2 linked regions of the Astyanax mexicanus genome follow. The protein of the gene in region 1 purifies or fractionates together with the protein of each later gene. This does not show direct contact. Links are inferred from orthologs where the notes say so. Each region holds a gene or a part of one and is shown on either strand. Other genes may lie near its edges. The genes, in order: peli2 and irak1.

What was found.
Region 2: the proteins of peli2 (region 1) and irak1 purify together in Homo sapiens (affinity purification with western blotting; 7 studies listed by BioGRID and IntAct, with this or other methods). This does not show direct contact. The link is inferred for Astyanax mexicanus from reciprocal best matches to the Homo sapiens genes PELI2 and IRAK1.

What each region holds. Positions count from the first base shown.
Region 1 is NC_064421.1:22,325,044-22,335,877, reverse strand, and holds the start of peli2 (E3 ubiquitin-protein ligase pellino homolog 2), read left to right. Parts: upstream 1-6,480; 5' UTR 6,481-7,075; coding exon 7,076-7,152; intron 7,153-10,834. UniProt on the Homo sapiens protein: E3 ubiquitin ligase catalyzing the covalent attachment of ubiquitin moieties onto substrate proteins. Involved in the TLR and IL-1 signaling pathways via interaction with the complex containing IRAK kinases and TRAF6.
Region 2 is NC_064419.1:4,120,535-4,132,217, reverse strand, and holds the start of irak1 (interleukin-1 receptor-associated kinase 1), read left to right. Parts: upstream 1-7,352; 5' UTR 7,353-7,685; coding exon 7,686-7,797; intron 7,798-11,683. Other genes in the region: mecp2 (methyl-CpG-binding protein 2), read left to right, coding at 2,205-2,336.

The sequences.
Region 1 (10,834 bases):
ACAAGAGGAAGGGGGGAATCCTCCCCCTAAGTGTTGGGACAACTCTTTAAGCACCGGATACAGGACCAACACTGATATTTGAAATAAAAATAAATAAATAATAATAATAATAAATAAATAAAAAGGTGTAGAATCCTTAACCCACTCAACAAGAGTTGTGCAGCTGTGTACAGCAAGTTAGGGTAACAGTATGTTGATGACAATGACAATATATCTTTTATATTTTCGAACAAAAACATTTACTGTGACCGACCTAATGGCCTAACTGACCACCAGTTGCCCAGGCCACCTATCACTCATGTCAGCACCATGTTATTAACTGGGACATAACCATGTTGACTGGGACAAGTGTAAAAGTGATGGGTGGTTTAAGCTGAGCCACAGCTAAAGTTCACAGGGCTCATGCTTTAGATCCATCATATACGGAGAAATGTTAATTCTTTGAGCCCTGTGCATGCCAGAGTCAGGGTTTGGAATCGTGATGCATGCAGTTACAGGGAACTGGAGGGAACTGAACATTGAAGACAATGTTACAGAGTTTTGGACCCCTGGTTCTGGATCACTTGCAAAGGTCTTTACAGCACCTGGGTGGCCAGAGAGGAAAGTCAAATTCTTGGGATGTTGTAAAGAAGAGTGTTGGGACAATGTAAGGGAAGCTGCTTATTTTGAATGAAAATGGAAAAAAGTGAAGATGACACATTTTTGTGATATGTTATGATGCAATTCAGTTTTTTTTTAAAGTGGTGGAGTGGTGCTTTTCACAACTTAAACTTAAATAAACAGCAGAAATGCCCCTTTTGCTTGATAAGGGGACAGCGTGGTTAATAAAAGCTTTCTTAAAACATGGGAACAAATTGGGCTTTTAAATGCTCTGGGATCATCATCCTTGTTCAGCTGAGATGACAGTACTATTCAGTATCATCTATGACAGTTTTGTTTCCCTTTGCTGTGGAATTACATGAATAGGCAGCACATTGGGAATAAGGCTGCATTCCATTTAAAGTTTTTGGAATTTCCAACATCCAGGTACATTTTATCTGGAATGGCCCCACAAGTCAGATTTTCTAAGAAAAGAGGGAGAGTCTTATTAACCCTAAATTTGGGATCCAAGATGACTGCAGCATGCAACACAGTAGTATAATACAGTGTCTCCTTGTGTCTCATTTAACCAGTTTTAAAACATAGAACTGGCCAACTTCCATCTGTGAACATGTGCGCAAAATACTATTTAATGTGTTATCTATTGTTGTTGTTAACAAAGCTAATAATGCTAACCCCCAGACATAAAAATTGGAAGATATTTTGATTGGATCCACTTTAAAACACTTAAAAATTATGGTCAACTTGTTGTAGTAAACTTGAAAACTTGAAAATCTGTGTTTAAGAATGCCATCAACTCAGGCTCAATTCTGAGGCTTCTGAGGTAAAAGGAATAAGGTATATGACCAGCTCTGAAGCACTGTAGAACTACAATTTTATTATAAAAATGCACATTATTTGGAGTGTGTGCATTGAATGTCTCACTTTGTCACTAAATAATCAGTTTAGGATAAGGTGACAGAAAACCGGTTTTCAGTCCTGATGTATAAGAGCTTCTAGGAAAGATGATCCTCACAGTAATAAATACAAAGCAGAGCTAAAGTTCCGATAGGGCCTAATCATGACTCATAAAATACAAAGAGAAAAAAACAGAACATGTAACCAAATAGGAACTACAGGACAAGAAGATAATGGGTTCTGCATTACCTCTACATTAAGATCACAAAGGGCTTGAGGGATGTAACCTGTTTTAACATGAAGTGTATATTGAACATGTTTACATATCTACAGAAGGGAGCTGAACGACACCATTGAAGTTCTAATTTAAGTTCACCTTCGGCACCTGAACTTTCCACCATTCTGTGTGAAGGCCATGACGTGCACAATAATGGCACTTTTGTGCGGTTCTTAGGTCAGCAGACTGTGTAGCACAGCTTCAGCACATTCCAGCCATTCTCCCTACATATCACACTGCAGTCAGCTGATACCAAACCTTCCCCGTGGCCCTGACCTCGTCAACATGGAGATCCTACTGCCATCCAAATCCCACAACACAGTCTGCCCAGCATAATATCAGACCAGGCCAAGTCAATGATGCGCACGATACAATTATCCACAATATGATACAGAGTACAGAGTGTCCCAAAAAGGCCTGTTTTGTTAAGACTTTATCACATGGTGACATGGTTACAGTGCTACACTCACATCATAATGCATCAAACGTAATTAAAAAAGAATAGAACAATATACTGGCAATGAAAGCAAACATTTGGAAATAAATACAATGCAGTGGTGCTAATAAGAGAACAGTATGCACTTTTGAAAACACTCATTCTTTTGGTGGTGCTTTTGTTTCCCTCCTAGTAAGGCACTACAGTTTGCCATAATAGTAGGAAACACTGATACAATATGCAGGACATTATTGTTATGTTTTTTTCTGACCTCAAAAACCTGTCAATAATAGGTGTCTGATGTTTTTTCTTTAGTTTTTTTTTTATCAGTATAACATAACTGTAGACGTACAATATCATTTACTTCACATATATTTAGGAAAAAAGGTCAACAAAAACAGTAATAACTTAAAAAAACATACTTTATGAAAATACAAAATGAGGAGGTTGCATCCATACTTTTCTGAACAGCCAAGATCTTTGGTCTATAATAATATACCCTCAGATTTTGCAATTAAACTATCTTTTATTTTTAAAATTGGACTCACTACAGTCCTAGAGGAGTATACATTGGTTCTGCACTGAGCTGTTGAGCAGTAGAACTGTGTTCTTTAGAATAATGGAGCTCCATCCAATACTTCTAGGATGAGTTTGGAAGATCAGATAAAAGGTAGGGTGGTGATCACCCAACAACCTAACCTCAATAACCCTGTTTTCCCTGAATGCAATTAAATCCTCACAACAATGCTCTAAAATCTTAAGAAAACCTTCCCTGGCACTGTGTGTACAGTACATCTGATTTTTGCACTAACTATTGCTTTGAGTAAGAGGTCAGCATGTTTAAGAGTGAAGGTCAGCAGCATTTCCAAGCATGTCATCAGCCTTTGGCTGCTTTGCGGGACTGGATGTGACCAGTCATTTTTGGAAGGTAGCTGAAAGAGAGATCATATAAACGCAGAGTAGTAGGGTATTACCATTGCGTGGTAAGCTATACCTGCATGAATCAACACCTTTCCTAATTCACCTTGAAGCACTGCTGTCATCATGTGCCTTGGGGGCAGAACATTCTCATGAGGTCATCTGTAAGAGCTGTTTTCATAGCATCAGCACTGAGCTGCTAGTTTAACACAGGCCCTCAGGTTTGCTGCACTAAACAGAAGGCATAACATTGTGTAGTAATTCCTGCATATGACCATAATAACACATAAGGGGAAGCAGTAATGATGAGTAATTGGCAGCATGCCTCACACACGTCACAATCCAGTCCACATGCCAGATGCGTCACGATTGCGCAATCCCACTTTCCGCACTCTGCGGATATGTGTCATGACTTTTGTCTTCCTGACAGTTGGGTTCTCCATTGTGCGCACTCACACGCAGAAACACTAACTGCACAGATTAAAACCAGGCACATTTCTTTTAAGAACAACAGCTTGCATCTGTAACCCATCAGGGTGGTATGTGCAACGCAAGCCTTTGATCCTTTGTCTGGAAGTGTGCTTGTGAGTGTGCTCTGGAGACTGGATCAAAGTTTCGGTATAATGTTACTGTATTCTTTTCCTGAGCCACTTTTCACACAACATCACATACACGGCGGTTGCCGTAAGTAGCTCCTGGATAAGCGGCCCGGTGTTTGCGGCATATCGTTGTTTTTCACCGGAACAAACTGTGGATTTGTTGGGGGTCTGGCTTGACTGACTCTGAATGGAGTGAACTGAATAAACATGATAATAGAAACAAAGGGAGCAGAGTTTCAGACTAGCCTGCTGTGTTAACAACAGATTAAACACAGATTAGTGTCGCAGAGATTAAAACTCACCAACTATGGTGTGATGAATGGCCATTTCAGTTCTAATCCTTTATAAATATAAAGACCAATATGTCAGTATTATGATAAGAATAAACTTAAAAAAACATATTTAGTTTATTATATGTAAAAAAAGTCCAACTCACTTTGAATGTGCAGTATATTAGCTCATTAATGAAATATCTGCATAACTGCCTTCCTATCTACAGTTTTTACAGTTTTACATCAGCTCCACACAAAATAAACAGTAACTGTAATACCTGACTGTAATACTACACATTGCCCATTCTTGAATTGCGGGTATGTTTTAGTTTGAAGGATTTGACTTATCAGTCAACTCTATTACCATTACACAGATTAAAGCAGCAGTCTTTAAGATTATTTTTCCTTTTAAACTGAAAGCTGTAATATTCCAAATTTGGTAGAAGACATATATCCTAATTAATGGTATCAGTGTCCTGGCTTAAACATCCCTAAGATTTTTACACATTTACAGCAGAGAGGTCTTCAAATCCCCAAATCCTACATAATGTCACTTTAAAAAAACTATACAGTTGACAGAAACAGAGTGGGCATTTTTCACCATGTTGTGCCTCAACTCCAAGTGCTAACTAGATTTTCTACAGCATTTTTAAATATGTCAATTTTCTACACATTTATAATTATTGAATTAAAATTTAATATGAATTTAACAAAAATAATGAGATTAGAAGTGCAACTTATCTCACTGCCTTCAACATGTTTCCTGCCAACGGAAGTGGATATATTAACAATATTTATAAAATGCCATAAGTTATTTCAGTATTCTCCACACATTTTGGGGTAATATTAAAACATTTCATTACCTGTTTACTACTACTTGCAAATGTTGTCAGAGGAAGAGAGGGCCAGACAGTGACAACTGTGCAAACTGTAGGTGACACATTCATCAGGGATGTGTGAATGACTGCACCAATGACAAATGGCAAGAGATAGACATGACTGGGAAGTTTGTTTAGTGTTATTCAGAGAGCTTATAATACACAAGGTACCAAACAATACAATATATCTGTTTTAAATAAAAAAAAACGTACAAGACAAGACTTTAAATAGATTTTAAATATACAGTTTTGTGGTGCGAATCTGTTTTTCAAGCTTACCTTGGATTGTATGTTTGAACTCATTCATGTGCACTGATCTGCTGCAACAAAGAGAGAGCTAGATGAGGATGAAGTTTATCTTAGCAGCCTGTGATGATGGTACACTACAGTGAACATTAACTGTACAGAGCCTGATGTGTTACACTATGACCTAATAAACATTTCTAAAACTTGTTGTTGCAAATAGTGTTTTTTACATGCCGTGTGCCAGTTTATTTGTCTCTGATTTGGGTCATTATTTTAACTGTGCTTGGATTCTGTGCTAAGCTGACACTGCTGAACCCAGAGAGCTGTTTTACTGCAGTTTTGTGGTTTCTTAACAGTCCAGCAAAACGGTGTGGATAAATTAGTTAAGGGTGTCTAAGAGTCTGCTTTTCTCTCAGAAATGCTGACCTGCTTTAATAAATTCTTTCCAAACATTAGGCCTACAGCTTGTTATTTCCTGTTTAAAGATGTGAAGCAGCAGAATTTTCCTCTTAAAGGAGAAATCCTGTGTGAAATGGACTTGGGCTGTGGCGAAACATGATAAGTAAAATCATTTGTTGAATATCCCACCTCTGTCCCGCCCCAGCATTCCTAAATACAGTGCTTTTAGCTGTTGTGTCCAACAGGCTTACAATAATAGCGATAGGGGTGTAGCAATCCCCATGCAAAGAAATCGTTATTTTTAAACCATTAATAAGCTCAAAATAACCTTAACTTAAATCAGGATACATTAACAGGCGTGGACAAACAAATAGGTAGGGTAGGGGAACAAATTTATAACAGAAAATTAATTCTATGGAAATGCATTAATATTGTAGAGATGTTTTCAGCAACAACAGTAATTCATGCATTTCCACAGAATTTGCAATCTGTTCCCCTATTCTACCTATTTGTGCTTGTGAATTTCCAGATTCTACATCAATATACTGTGCATATAAACAGTTTATCTGAGCACTTTAAAATGCCTCAGTGCCTTGTTTTAAATGTCAGGGCCCTCTGAATTCCACCAATGGTGGAAGCTATTTTGCTACTTTGAACTTGTTAATGGTGTAAAAATAGTGATTTTGTAAAGTTTGTACTTGTTACCATGTTTCACTACAACCCAAGTTCATTTCACACAGGATTTCTCCTTTAAATGCACTCTCACAGTCAGTGCTCCTCTATACAGATCTACAGATCATAAACGCTTTGTGATCCTTTAATGTTAGTTAGCCACATTTACTGTGGTGTAGTTTTAAGTTTTCTCCTTTTTGTGATTTGGATGACTTTTTCCTATTTTGTAATTTAATGTGGGGAGAGCTAAATAAAAACACAGAAGTGTGAGTATCCCTTTAAATATTTTCAACTGTTACTCTTTGTTTACATAATTGAAGGTGCCGCCTCAGACCGTGGCGGCCCAGGACTGTTCCACTCAGGGGGGAGACTGTACTTTCACTTCCAGATTATTTCCCTGGGAATAGGCTTGTTTTTCGGTACTGTATGTTTGGCTGAGCATTATGGATGTTTACAATGTAGCATTTCACACGTCTAAAGCAGGAAAGGCAGATTCTAATGTTTATAGAAACTGCAGTCCGTCCTCCCCCCGTATAAAGTAGGCGTAAGTGAGTGGTATGTTCCACCCCCTACCGTGTAATGTTTTTCCACTTGGCAGAGAGAACGGTGAAAGCACGAAGTTAGGCGTATTTTTGGGATTGTGAAATGTTTCTCAAACGCGCATTCTTGACTGTACGCCCTGTTTCTGATACTTGAATTCAGCTTATTTATTTTGAGAGAAGAGCAGGGTTTAAGAGGCAGCGGGAACCAGGCGGAAAATGGCTGTTAGTCTCGTCCTTTGAAGTATTTTTTCCCTGTGATCTTTTTTCACTGGACTGGCTCGACCAACTCCATCCTGAGAGACGAGTTCGAGTGGAGAAGTTTGGAGGGTTAGCAGCCTCATGTTTTCACCGGGCCAAGAGGAGCACTGTGGACCCACCAAAGAGCCTGTGAAGTACGGGGAGCTGGTAGTTCTGGGGTGAGTTGAGTTTAAAACCTTAAATAACAGCAACAGTTCATCTCCAAATAGATTGTTTTTGGTTGGAAAGTTAAGTTGAACCTCTAACGTTACTTAACTTAAGCTAGCTATCAGAGTACACGCTGTTCTAGGCTGGGATAATAATAAACATGCCTGAGATAAACGCGAACTGAGGACTGACTGGTGTTTCACTTCGTGTCTACAAAACGTTCCCATATCGGGGGGAAATCCACAGTTATCTAGGCAGTTATCTTGGTGCTTGTTTACACGGTCGGTAGCCTATAGCTAGGATAGCTATCCGAAAGAGCGAGCGGACCCCCTCCCAATCTCTCACAATTCACGCGCTCACGTTACTCAACAAATGAAACACGTGCGACGTCCCTGCGAGTATTCACCAGGCAAAAGCCAAACTTAGGCCGTGCTCCTCTTCAATCTGCCGCGCTACAGGACTGATTATTTAGATATATCTCGCATTACTTTATCCTAATTATAGCAGCTAAACACACGCCGATAATGACTTAACGCCTCTAATCACGTTAACCACATTTAGCCGAACCCAAACCCTCGCACAGGAAGAAATCTCGAGGATTCTGCGTTCAGAGCTCGCTCTCTTTCGTTCACTGTGTTGCATTAATTTCACTGAGCTAGCTAAGTAAAGCTCCACTCGCCACTAGTTCAGGAAGTTCCAGGGAGATTTAGGGCTCTGAAGGAATTCGGAAATAGGTAAGCTAACTATATTGCCCCCCCCCTTTTCCCCACAGTGACTGAGCCATTTCACTGGCCCCTTTTACAGGGGTTCTTTCTCTCAGCCCCATCATAAATCAGCTTTATTTGATAACTAGACAAGGGCTGCCTATTTGAGCGCCTTTAGAAGAGTACAGAAATGTGTTAACCTATAGTTATCCCTGTAGAGAGGGAGCTTCACCTGCACATTATGGAGTAAAAAAACACATTAACTAAATATTGTTTTTAAAAGAATATCTACATTAAAAACCTATCTTCATAAGGTATGATCATTAAAAAGAATTTTAATATGCAACTTACTATAAGATTTAAAGGCGAGATCTTATGTGAAATCGACTTGGATTGTAGTAAAATATGATAATGAGTACAAACTTTTGTCGAATAGCCCATGTCTGTTTCATTCACCCCAGCACTCCAAAGTACAATGCTTTTAGCCAATGCTTCCAACAGGCTTATAATGCTAGGGATGGGGGCATAGCCCATGCAAAGAAATAGCAATTTTTTTGCAACATTAGCAAGCTCAAAGTAGCTCCACACTTCATTGTTAGAATTCAGAGGTCCCTGACATTTAAAACAAGTGAAAGTGTACAGATAGTTTATAAAAGTTTTACAGGTTGCAAAATTAATTCTGTTGAAATGCATGAATTCCAACTGTTGCTAAAAATATCTCCAATTTTCACGCATTTCCACAGATTTAATTGTGCAATCTGTTCCTCTATCTTACCGATTCATCATTTAACCTAATTTTTTGATGGCGGCTACCATAGAACATCCTGAAGGTACTGTGTGTATAAACTGTCTTTTTTTAAATAAACTACCTGAGCACCTTCAGTATTCTCAGTATGCTTGATAATGTTGACTTTCTTCATATGGGCAATGCTATGCCCTTCCTGCTAGCATTGTAAGCCTGTTGGGAGCATTGGCTTAAATTGCTTTGTTTCAGAATGCTGGGGATAAATGTGAGTTGGGCTATTCCACAAACGTTTGTACTCCGTTATAATTATTCACTACACACAAAGTCAATTTCATACTGGTGTTCTCCTTTAAAGAACAGATAACTTATTTATGTACAAGTTTTTTTTTCTTAGCCCCTCAAAAAAAGTATAATCCTCAAAGGTACACTATGCTAAACTGGTTATTGGTCAACTTTAGTAAGTCCTCACAAAGTATTATTGTTTGTGATCCAGTGTGCTCTAGCACATCAGTTCACCCAGTTTCAGGCAAAGCTAGCAACAGTACCATGCCTTTGCTGTCCTGCCTGGCACTGCCCACTGACACACTCAGGGGAGAGTCCTCAGCTGAAAGAGCGTATTATTGATCTGTGCACAGCCACTGTGTCTCCACAGTCCTGCTGTCTCTGTTCATTGTCCTAACTGGCCTGACTGGGCTTATTGATGGGGGACTTTGTGTGACCCTGCTGGCTTCTTACTGAAGACACCTCTGGCATAGGAGTTTTATTTCCAGTGACTGATCTTTGTGAGTGAAACTAAGGAAGATGGATGTCTCTCAGCCATTGATAGTCATTGATAGTGCCCTGTTTTCAGTGTCATGTGTCTTTCTCTTTACCGAATGCTCACACACGACCCCTATTTAAACTCCTTAATTCTGATGTTTCATGATGTTGTATGATTTTTTTTGTATTGACTTTTCTTAGATATGCAGATATGCATAGCATACATATTGGTGCCAGATGGTGACCAATGGTTTGCTTTTGGAACCAAATCTTGTGCTCCTGTCTGTGCTTGATGGCATTAGCTGAAGAAAGGATACCAAAAGTTGCATTTGAAAATACAAAAGCTCAGGAAGTTTGAGAGTATCTGTGCAATGCTGTAACTCTAACCTAACAGCATTCCAGATAAGGGCATTCTTCTAACATCATTAGGATTGCAAGGGATGCACCGATGTGGGAATTCTGGGCCAATGCAATATCTATATTGCATGTACATATCTGCTGATACAGATATACACACGTAAACACAGAGATTAGACTCCCTAGTATAACTTTAAAAACAAATGTCACGTTTATTTCCCTTACATATTAGTTTTTGGCAATTAAATGCAAAAAAAAAGGTGTCTCCTGAAAGTTTGGATTCACATTAACTTAGCTGACTGGTAACAGCTTTAAACATTTCTTTTTCAAATTAACATGTTAAATAAAGCAACAGATTTATTGAAACAAATACAAATAAATAGAAATGATCTTAAATCAATGGCCAGTGTTGGCTAATTGTTGTAGTGTGGCCTCCAACATGCATATAAATAATTGTGCATCCCTAAGTATAGCAGTATGTTGTGGTAAAATAAATGTTGCCAGTAAATCTGGCTATTTTAACACTGTGTCTAGACATGTTAATTCTGTGTTCTGTCACCTTCAAGACCTGTTATTCAGTAACTGCAAATTCAAGTTCATTTCTATCTTCTGTAAATGTAAACAAACAAGAAACTTATGTTGTTTGGGAGTGAGGAGTTAAAGTATGGGCTGTAAACAATTGTTGTTTGTTTTAAGGGTTAAACATCACATGTTGCCATAAGCGTGTAAATGTTTTATTTACTCTGATATAGGGCTGGATGACATGAGAAAAAAGGCACATTATAATATATTTTTTAATTTCAGACAATATGGTATAATTCTATTGTCTGTATGAACATAAAAGCCACAGAAAAGCTGCACACAACACCCAGAACAGATGTCTAACATTAAGGTATATTGCCATTACCAGAAAAGTATATGTATGATTGTGTGTATTGGATTTAAATTATTGTCTAGCCTTAGTTTGCTATTTATTATTGGTTCACTCAGATTCTTAACTGTATAAAATTTAAATGCCTGTTTTACTCTTCCATGTGTGCAGCAAAATTCACAACAGAAATGCTCTGCGGTGGACGTGTGATTTGTTTTAAGGTGTTGCTGTTCTGTTTAGGTTCATTGCAGATGAGG
Region 2 (11,683 bases), on another chromosome or scaffold:
TGTATATATTAAAAAGAAAGAAACTCCTTTATCATATAAAAAACTAAAAAGAAGTAGACTGGTTGGGCTGATTTGGTAATTTTCACAAAGCACTGAGATTTGTGCTTTAATCTTTGCTGTAAGTATAAAACTAAAACTATATAAAAAATATCATCCTTTTCTTTGTTCTTTTTCATCAGCTGGTCTCCTCCAGGTCTTTTTTGTCTCCTTCATGCAAAAGTTGTATCCATGTAACATTAACTACTTAAGCGAAGTCATTTATTTATGCCTTTTGTAGCACTCGATGCCCACTGTCAAAAATATGGAGTCCTACAAGAAAAATAAGACTTACAGATTTACATTTATTTATCTGTTTTTGTGCCTCTGGCAGACAAATATGCTATGGAATGTCCTTGTGTCCCTGTAGCCAAAAATACATGCTATGTATGTGAACATGTATCAATATGCATGATTGCCATTAGAAGGTAGTACATTGCTTGCCCTTTACTATTCTTCGTAACGACGTTTTCGGGACGACACTTCTCTCCAAGAGCTGAGCCGAACCATCTGGCCATAAAAAAAATCTTTGAGGGTAGATTAACGAGAGCTTGAACGCTGAACGAGTTCGGAAAACGACAAGGTCACCTGTTTGTGCAATTAAGTAAAAAATATAAATAAATACAAAAAAAAATTGATAAACAAAAATTAACAAAATGTGGAAAAAAAGATAAAGTCAGTTCTTTTTTCAGCAGTTTTGTTGGACAGGAATATTTTTTGAGTTACGTTTTTCTTTTTATTATTATTATTATTATTATTATTATTATTATTTATTTAATTTTATATGTTACGACCCCGCTTGTTTATATAACCAATTAAAGAAGGTGAAGAAGAAGATGATAATGATGGTTATTAATAGTGATAATGGTTCCACACAGGCTCCTAAAGCTATTACTCTAGTCCCCAATGCAGTGGCAAAAGTATTCCAAGTAAATTATTATTATTATTATTTGTGAATCTTAGTGTTGGAATTTTAAGCCAATGTCAGGAGTAGACTATTTTACCTTAAAAGCAATAGTATATTCAGTAGATCTGATTTGCGTTTCTGTCATTCTTGTGTCTTTAGATTGTGTGCACTGTTATATATTTAAAGAAGAGAAAATAATAATAAAAAAAATGTAAAATTGAATTCTTACTACTAATGCCTGAAGTACAAATTTTAATTTACCAGTAAGTACCTGAATTTAACTACAGCACTTCAGCTAAGCTCAAAGCAAGCAAGACTGAAAGATGAAGGTCAAACAAAGTCACAGAGTCCAGTTCAGCTACAGGAAATAGGTTCCAAACTTCATCGGTAGAAAGTTCATGGTCTATTTGACATAGTCTTGTGCCTTGAAGTTTCAGTAATAGAAATTTATCTTTATACCGTAGTTGTATTTTTATTCTGAGTCCTGTGTTTTGCCTCTTGTTGGTATTCAGTGCTTTGGGTGTGTTAAGGATTTCTAGAGATCAGCGATACGTTTGCCTTGTTTTATTTTCATACGGGGGGAAAAATGCGCATTTGGAATAAATTAGGAAAAACCTTCTTGGGCAATATCGACTGTGTAAAAGGTGATAGGATCTTGGTATTTTTCATCCCTGGTATGTTGAATGTGTCTCTCGAGTCGGGTGACGTGTGTTTGTCGGGAAATGTTCTTCTTCATTTTAACATCGCGAGTTACTCGTCATTAGAGCCTGCCTCAAACTGTATCTTCCAACCACAATTTTGCATTTTATGAAAGGAATATTTCAACCACGACTGGTGACAATGAATTAAAAGATCTGCACTTTATAAAGTATGTTTCCTGGCAGGACACCCATTAACGTTTTGTATGTATTTTTTACCGTTGTCCGAAGTTGCTGTTTTTTTTTCATATGTTTTGATTTAGTTTGAAATAAAAGGGATGGGTAGTACTATGTATCTTCAAAGACAAAAAAAAAATAAAAATGAGAAAAAAAAAGTATATTATTATTATTTTAACCAAACAATCCTACAGCCTAGGTGTCACTGGTTACTCACCATTTGCCAATTTAAGTCCTTGCCTTCCTGAAAGTGAAAAGTATAGTTTGTGTCTACTTTTATAGTAATGTGTTACTGTATTATTTGTTTGCCGTATGTAACAGATACACAACAGTAAACAACATTTACCTTCTTCCTGTCTAAAATGTTTCTTTCGCTCTCGTCACAGGTGAGCTTCAGTCAGACACTGTGGCTCCGCAGCCAGATTTGGTTCGACTACTCCTCTTTTAAGGGGGTTCACTCCGATTGCTCTGTTTTTGTTTCAGTTATTTTGCCTTTTTTTGTTCTTTTTCCCCCCTAGTGGCGAGTGCTACATCATTTGCCTAGACATTTTATTATTTTTCCTTTTTTTTTTTAAGCTCACAAACTGATGTTAGGCTTAACATGAAATGTTTGAAAATAAAATGTGTATGATTGGAGGATTGCACATGTTTTAGCCCATAAATAATGCAGGTATTATGTGTTTTTATATGTGTAAAGTGCACTAGTCTAGGATAAAGACTTACAGGGTTAGTTTTCCAGACATTGATTAAGCCTAGTCTTGGATTATACAAGACTAGGCACTTTAAATGTAGATTGTCCAGTAAAAGGAAAATACAGTCTATGACTAGGCCTAATAAGTGTCTGGGAAACCGACCCTCTTTTTTTTCTCCTTTTTAACTCAAGTTGAAACAATACTTGCTGACGTTGTTGTTGAGTCAGATATTCCATTGAAATTGCATAACATTTTAATTAACCGTGGAGTTTCTTGGAAGTCAGGTATCACGAGAGGGGAGATGAGAGATGTGACATGATGGCATGAAGCCAAAAATTCAGTAGTAGTGCTTCAGTAGTGCAGTTACTCAATAGTGTGATAGGATAGAAGTAGCCTTGAAGCTTCTAATACGGGGAAGTTCCACTGAGGTCTCACATTTTTCCCTGCAGTTTCCTGTCACTGAGATATAACATGTTTTATTGTAGGTACACTTAACATAATAATATCTACAGCAGGGCTTCTCAACTGATCTCAGCCCGGGTCCTACATTTTCTAAAGATCATTAAAAATACAAATAAATAAATAAAAATAGCCTTCAAAACCCCACTTAAACATACATATGCATGCAAAGTGAATTTAAGAGCAAGTTTTTTTTTTAAAGAAACTAAAGAGGAATGTGACAAATACATGTATACAATTTACTACAATAAAATTAAATATCAAAACTGCACAAAATAAATAAGACCACAAAATGATATATTTTATTTTTCTGCATATCTCTGCATTCAGAGTACATTAGTAAGAAAGTATAAGTAGAAAATCAGGTGAGCATTAATGATTTAATTTTTTTTTTTTATTATTATTTTTTTTTTTTATGGCCAAGGATTTAAATTCCTGAAAATGAGCTACAGCATGACCATCGTCCCAGAAGAAAGCCTCGTCTGAAGCTCATGCACTAGAAAAAAATATATACTGTGTTGTGAAAAAATCCATCCAGCTGCCTGCAAATGAAGTCTCCAATTATGGACTCTGGAGTGGAATCTCAAAAGCTGCCGTGCTGAAAATGCAGCTGCATCATGCATTAATATGAGGTGTTCATCACTGACCTGAGATCTGGAACCGGGTCCCTGGAGGGGCTGGTCCTTTCACAGTGCGGCACATCCAGCTCCTCGAAGGCCCTCGAAGAATCATCTGTGGGGTGAAATCAGGTAAGGTAAACGTAGTGAGGTGTTAAACCATATATAGCAGTAATCTCACACTCTGCAGTTAAAGTTAAAACGTTGCAGAGCCAGTATATGGGTCATAGATATTTGAGGGTTTTAAAATCTTAAAAACAAGAGTAAATCTTGAGTGTAAGCATTAAAAATCTTGCGAACATGAAAATTCTTATGAAACATTTTTGTTTCCTCATTTGGTGCGACCATGAGTTATCTTAAAATATCTTAATTAATTTTCTTAACATGCTCAACATTTGTTTTACACGTTTCCAGAATTATTAGGTGTCTATAAATCAAGTGTATGCATTACTTAGGGTTTTGGTAAAAACTAATCTCATATTTTCATTCTAAAATGTGCTTAATGTCTTATTTTTTTTATTTATCTTGCAATTGAAAATTTTAAAAAGTATAAACTCGAAAATACTCTCAGCAATGAAAATTATTTAAGATTCAATCATATTTAATGCTGTTATGGTATGGGTTTCACCACGTAATGAGTAGTTACTTTAAATTACTTCCTGTGATTTAAAATTTCTTTAAAGTAATTAATAATAAATACATTTCACACAAAAAAATATTGAAACTTAATTTGATAAGATTCCCCAGAACTGTCAAAAATCACACAAGTAGTTTTTACTTTGTTTATGTACATTTTTTTTATTTAAATTTTTTTTTTTACATATGTTTCTTCAGATATACTTTGTAAATCTCACAGAGACATGTTTTATTCACAATAGAACAAATATCAGACGTTAAAGCTATTTAGAACCTACTGCAGCAATACATCTAAAAAAGGTTGGACAACAAATGGCTGGAAAAGTAAGTAGTACTAATAATAAACAGCTACAATAAGAGCACTTTACAACTTACTCTCGTGACATTAGTATTACAGCATCAATTTTATAATTACTAAAGTAGTTTTGGTACAATGGTACTATAATAATGTAAGATTTAGTAATAAATAAATAATTCAGAGTCCAAAAATAGATTTTGCCAGTTTGACTAGAGTTTTTTTTGGATGTAAAGATAAAAGGAAATTAAAATGAACAGTTCCAAAACAGAGTGAGATCTGTGGCCCAAGGACTAGGCAAAGATTAACCCTCGCAATGTTTGCCTTCAGCTCCATAAAAAAAAGTAAAAACCAATAGCAACTCCCAGTTTGCTGATTTCTACCTGAGCTCCACACTGGTGGTCTGTGAGGACATTTTATCCATTTTTTGGGCCCCTCTGACCATATCTAGAGCAGCAGTGTCTTTCACGTCTGGTGATATTTTCAGTCCATCTGACCTTTAAAAAGATATTATTTAAAAGGTTTCTGGAACATTCGTCACATTTTCGTTCGTCTTTGCTTAGTCCTGAAGGAGTCACACACAAGTTGTAAAGCATGCATCATTTTTTTTTCAAGGACAGATAACAGTCTGACTAACAGTCTGTCCTCTGCTTTAGAGAGATCGGTCTTCACAGAAAAATGCACATATATGCTGCATAAAGTCACTAAAGTCCTAAAAGTAGGTTAGAAAAAAACAAATCAAACAATTGAGACACAAATATTAAACCTGCTTTTTTTTATTAAAAGAATATTATCCAATATTTTTTACTGTATCTGTCAGTGTCTGTGGTTTGGTCACGCACTTGAACGGCTACTGGAACAATGTTTTTAAGACAGATGAGGCCAATATAGAGATTTGAATTATAAATGAGGAGCATTATGGTTGAAGAAAGAAAACAATTTCCAGCACAAAAACCTTATTTTCTCTGTAAAACACGGTTATAGTTTCATGGTTTGAGCCTTTTTTGTTGCATCTGGGCCAGGCCGGATACCAGCACATACCATCATACTGTAAATTTAATCTCAAGTGAATGTGGGTCATGCAGCAAGACAGTGACCCTACACACATAAACATTCTACCACAGGATTGAAGGAATGTGCTTAAAATGTGCTAAAGTGGATGTGTAGGACTGAGCAACAGTTACTGGAAACATTTAGTTGCACTTATTGGTGCACAAAGGAGTCACAACAGAAACTAAAAGCATGTTCACATACTTTTGTTGCTCACAAATACTGTATGTAAGACTGGATATTTGATTTTGATGTGGCTCTCCTTATATACTTTTAAGATATGTGTCAAAAACTGATTAAAGTATAGCTTGTAAGTTCATCTCAGAACACATATTTAGCTTCACTGGCTGTTTTAGTTGCTACATTAAATAGATATATTTGTGTTGCAGACCTAGTCACTACTGTTCTAGAAAGACAGTACATAAATTACTGTAACAGGGTTTCTCCACCATGAACCGCTTAAACCATTTTACACCACCGAACCGCCAAATCTGATTAGATCTCCAGAATTGACTCATGGAGGTGGAATCTCCCTTCATCAAAACATGCTGAACACTCTTACTTTTTACCTACTTCTAGACAGAAACTGAACTCAACCTCTTAAATAAGTGTCATGCAATTTTGCTTATGTCATGCAGTCATGTATAGGACTGGACAATAATTAAATATCAATATTTATTCTGATCAATATTTCAATAACAGTGGTGCAATTGTACTACTGTACTCTACCCAAACAGCATCATTTTGATACACATTTCAATACAGTATGAACCAATTCAGCTGTAAAATTGGTGACATAATGTTAAAAAAAATATAAAAATCATCAAAAAAATAAAATAAAATAAAACATTTTATGAAGTTTAGCATTTAACATTTAAAATAAATACAATTTTGAAAAAAATTGTGATTTATAGCTCTGGAAATAAAATTAAGAGACCACTTCAGTTTCTGAATAAGTTTCTCTGATTTTGCTTTTTATAGGTATATGTTCCAGCAAAATGAACATTGTTGTTTTATTCTATAAACTACAGACAACATTTATCACAAATAAAAATATTGTCATTTAGAGCATTTATTTGCAGAAAATGAGAAATGGCTGAAATAACAAAAAAGATTTTAGGCCTCAAATAATGCCAAAAAACAAGCTCATATTCATAAGTGGAATAACCCTGGTTTCTAATCACAGTTTTCATGCATCTTCTGAAATGAGGAATGTTCTCCTCTGCCAGTCTTGGATAACTTTATGCCACTCCTTGTGAAAAAATTCAAGCAGTTCAGCTTGGTTTGATGGCTTGAATTTGTGTGCCAGGAGTGGCATAAAGTTATCCAAAAGCAGTGTGTAAGACTGGTGGAGGAGAACATGCCAAGGAAACTGTGATTAAAAACCAGGGTTATTCCACCAAATATTGATTTCTGAAATCTTTGCATTATTTGAGGTCTGAAATTTGAGGTCCCCTTTTTGTTATTTCAGCCATTTCTCATTTATTGCAAATCAATACTCTAAATGACAATATTTTTATTTGTAACCACAGTGTTCATTTTACTCAAACATATATATATATATATATATATATATATATATATATATATATATATATATATATATATATATATAGTTAAATCAGACAGACTGATCGGATTTATTTATTTATTAATTCATTCTTTGGTCCATATAGCCCAGCACTAATCACCAATAACTACAGTTTATGTAGATAGAAGTTCACAGCCTGGAAGTGGGCTAGCTAAGTGAGGAAAGAGGAAGTGTAAAACAGTGGGTTATACAGATATAGAGCTTGCTGAAAAAAAAAAAACACACACACACGGAGAGGAAAGTAGCTAACCTTGCCAAGCATGACACAGCATGGCTGTGGGAGAACACAGCCCTGCTAAACTGGGATTCTCAACCAGTCAGTCACCTAGAACGGACGGGAATTTATGTCAAACTCGTACTGCTGCTGGACGGGCTTGGATTACTCACTGCTCTTCTGCCCGCTGGGAGCCGTTCACTCGGTTCACTCCGAGCTCATGTGGAAATAACTCGGGCTGCTTTAGCCACGCTAGCTGCTGAAACATCTTAAAATCTTCCTACAGGGTTTAACACATCGCCCAGCTCCAGAAATGTCCGATATGAGACTTTACAGCGAATATATCTACGATTTACCAGCGGCTGTGGTGAATGAATTTACCCGGGTCATGGATTCGCTGCCTGTTTCGGACTGGCTGAGATTTGGTAAGGATAAATTAGCGTTAACAAAACGTTAAGTTAATTTTTAAGTTATTCAGGGTTATTAAGCCACGTAACTTCGCTTTATTTGAGCTGTTTTAGCTAACTGACACGCTTTAGTTAGCGTTAAGTTTTGATGTAGGTGGTGTTTTATCGAGTTGTGCTCCCCATAGATATGTGCTACTATGTTTTCATGTGTTTTTCCCTAGAGGTGGATAACCCAGGTCCAGAAAGCAAAAATCCATCCCAGGGTTTTGTACCAACTGCCTGGGCGGCTCTTCCGCAGCTTGGCTTGGTTGGCAGTTGGTACAAAACCCTGGGATGGATTTTTGCTTTCTGGACCTGGGTTACTTACTTCTAGTTTTTCCTGATAATTTAGTTAATTTAAGTTAATTAATTAATTAATTTATTTATTTAGTACAATCTGGACTCACACTCATATGGATATATATTTTACTTGAGTGTTACAACCGTGTAAAAAATAAAAATAAAAAAAGTTATAAAAAATATAATAAAAATATAACTATATATATAATAAATGTTTTTAATCACCTAACATATAGTGCTTTAACTTTATTCTAATTTGTACACTTAAACGTACACACTAGGGTAGCACGGTATTAGAACTTGACATGGTATTAGAACTTGACAGAACACAGGTTATTGAATTGTTAGCTAGTTAGCTAAGCTAGCTAACATAGCTTAAAACAGTGTTGTACAAGGCTAGCCTGGCTAGCTGGCTAACTTCCTCAACGTGAGTGAAAGTTAAGGGGTTAGTTAGCCAGTTAGCTCGCTAGGTTATTTAGCTAGCTCTATGACCAATAATAATGATAATTTAGCTAGCTAACTCAACTTACCTTAGTTGTGCTGCTATTAATATTAATTAGCTTAAGTTTCTGACTAAATTATGCCTCTAATTAAACCACTTGTCATTGCTGTTAACGTTACCCTTCAAAGCTAAACATGTCATCTGGTCAAACGACTAAAAGTAGTTTAGGTCAGTTAGCTAATTAGCCTGGTTAAGTGTTGACAGTTAGCTTAGCGTATCTAGATATGTTAAATAGTTAACCCACAGTTTATCTACAGTTTTTGTTTTATTTAAACATCTGCCTAAATAAAGGCTGTATTGGATATTTTAATACACTGTTGCTTTAAAGTTAATGAACCCTCTAGAATTTTCTAGATTTCTGCATAAATACGGCCTTGTTTTATTAGTGACAATCACTTAAAATATTTGTCAAAGCAATATTGATTACATTTTTTAAATGCTGGATATAAACGCAGGATTTGTACGGTCATGAAAAACCTGTAAAAGTAATGGAACTTGAAAATAGCAATTTTCAGTCCTGGATAAGTTTTGGAAAAATAATAATGACCACAAAGTTTTTGAAAAGTCATGGAAATTTGGTCTACAAATCTTTATATTTCCGTTTATAGATGGAGAAAATGTTTTAGTTGATTTTTGGTTTTATTGTCCATGTCTGCACTGATGTTTTAAAAATCGTATGGTCATGAAATTTGCCCGGAGGGCATTACAAAAGTCATGGAAATATAATGGAAATGTATTGATTAAAACGTGTATGAACCATGTAAACTATATTTTTGGGAATATGACACACATAATGGTGTAGTATGGTTTATATCTGGCAGACTAGATCCTTTTTTTCTGTATTATAATATCTCAGGGTAGTTTTGATGCTTTTAAACGGACTAAATCATGGTTAAATCATTATTTATTTACTTGAGAATGGAACAAAATAATGATGTAGTGTGCTTTACACCTGGAAGACTTCTTTTTACTGTATTATAATATCTCAGAGTAGTGTTGATGCTTTTTAAACTAGAATATTGTTGTGTGTAAATGTGAGTTACTTAGTGTAATGGAGAAAATAAATGCCAGGGTAGCTCCATATTCAGCTATTAATGTAAAAATGACACATTTCGAGTAGGCTGAAAATATCATCTTGCAGTTGTGAATGTTTTCAACACTTTATTGCTCACCATTGCAAATCACTGAATTCAGGTGCATAAAGCCAAATATAAATTGGGTAGATAAAAAAAAAAATTGGATTAGATGTTCTCATTTGTAAACCCTCTAGGATTTTCTAGATATTTTCTTCTTCATAAATATGACTTTGTTTTATTGGTGCTAATGTCTTGAAATAATTGTCACAACAATATTCTGTATTCTGAATTCAGGTGTATAAAACCAAGCAGCTAGGCATGCAGATATCTACAAACATTAGTGAAAAAATGGGTTGCTCTCATGACCTCAGTAAATTCCAGAATAAATGAGTAAATTAGGCAGATTTTTAAATAATGGATTGGATATAATAATATATAGTTGTACTTGTAAGTTTGTGAACCTTATAGAATGTTTTAAATTTCTGCATAAATAAGACAATCATGTCTTATTAGTACCAGTCCCTTCAAATAATGGTAAAAATCTTAACAATATTCTGTGATTAAATCATGGATGAAATCAGGATTATGTACTTAACTGTATTTTTGGGAATGGGACAAAAATAATGGTGTTTGGTTTTTACACCTGTCAGCCTAGATTCTTTTTTTATATAATATATAATATCTCAAACATATTACTGAGTTTAATGGAGACAATAAACGCTAATGTAGTAGTTCCATATTTCACACTCAACAGCGGAAACATGACATCAGCTGTATGTGTTTGTGTGTGCGTGACCACATAAGTGTGAGAGACAGAAAAAGAGAGCATAAACTTCAGCATAAATAATAGATAATCTACCTTCTGATCTCAACAGTAAGCATTGCTGTTTTATATCCCTAAAAATAAAACTGCTAATGTATTACCAGACTCTTTCAATTTTGTCACTAGATTAATTTGCCCTCAAAGTTACTGTATAGCTGTAATACCTCATTAAATGAGAAGAGGTGTATACAATTTTTTGAATGGTACTGTCTATATAATATTGTAATGTCAATTCATTGTTGCAGTTGGAGCACAGTTGTTTCAATGTAGTAATGGAAAACTGAACGTTGACTCACTGTCCTTGGTATTCATTTTTTACTGGTAAAAAACTCCAGTTCAGAATCTTTGTAATGCAGTTTTTTTACTAAAAAACTCTAGAAATTCTATGGAAATCTATTAACTTTTTACTAGTAATATTATCAGATCTACAGATCTACAATGTCATGCTGAACAGTCATATGAGAACCACATACAAATCCTTCATGTAATTATGACTAGTCATATGTTTCCATTAGGGGTGGGAATCGATTACTATCTCACGATTCGATTCGATTCCGATTTTGGGGGCCACGATTCGATTCAAAATCGATTTTTGATTCAAAACGATTTGAATTATAAAAATTTCTGCTTCTGGCTTATGAATCTTATTGAAAAAAAAACCCTCCATAATATACACTGGTCCTGGAGCAAGTAATGTGTTACAAAAACAATAAAATGTGCAGGAATGTGGGTCCTCAGTGACAGAGGAATCACTGGGATATCACAATGACGTTAATGAACAATAAATAAATAATAAATAACACTGCTTTATTACAAGGCTACTAGCGGTGGTGTGTAGGTGACGCTGCTGGGCTGATGTGATGATAGCAGTGGAGCGCTAAAGTTCAGGAGCAGCTGCTGATTAACTAGTTAATTTAAGGTCGTTGTATTTCTTCAGAAAGGGGGCAGGAGGTGGAGAAATTAATTCATATTGTCCATTCCTTAATTCCTCTGTGATGAGGAGCTGAAATGAGCTCTGATTAGCTTATTGTTATTTTTCCGTTCCGCCTTAAATGCTGCAGCCCGCAGCCACCTGTAGCGTTATTTAAGGTGGAACTGGAAAGTTAGCTTGTTAGCTAGCTAACAGTTACTGAAACTAACTACTAGCGATCTTTTTTATGCTTG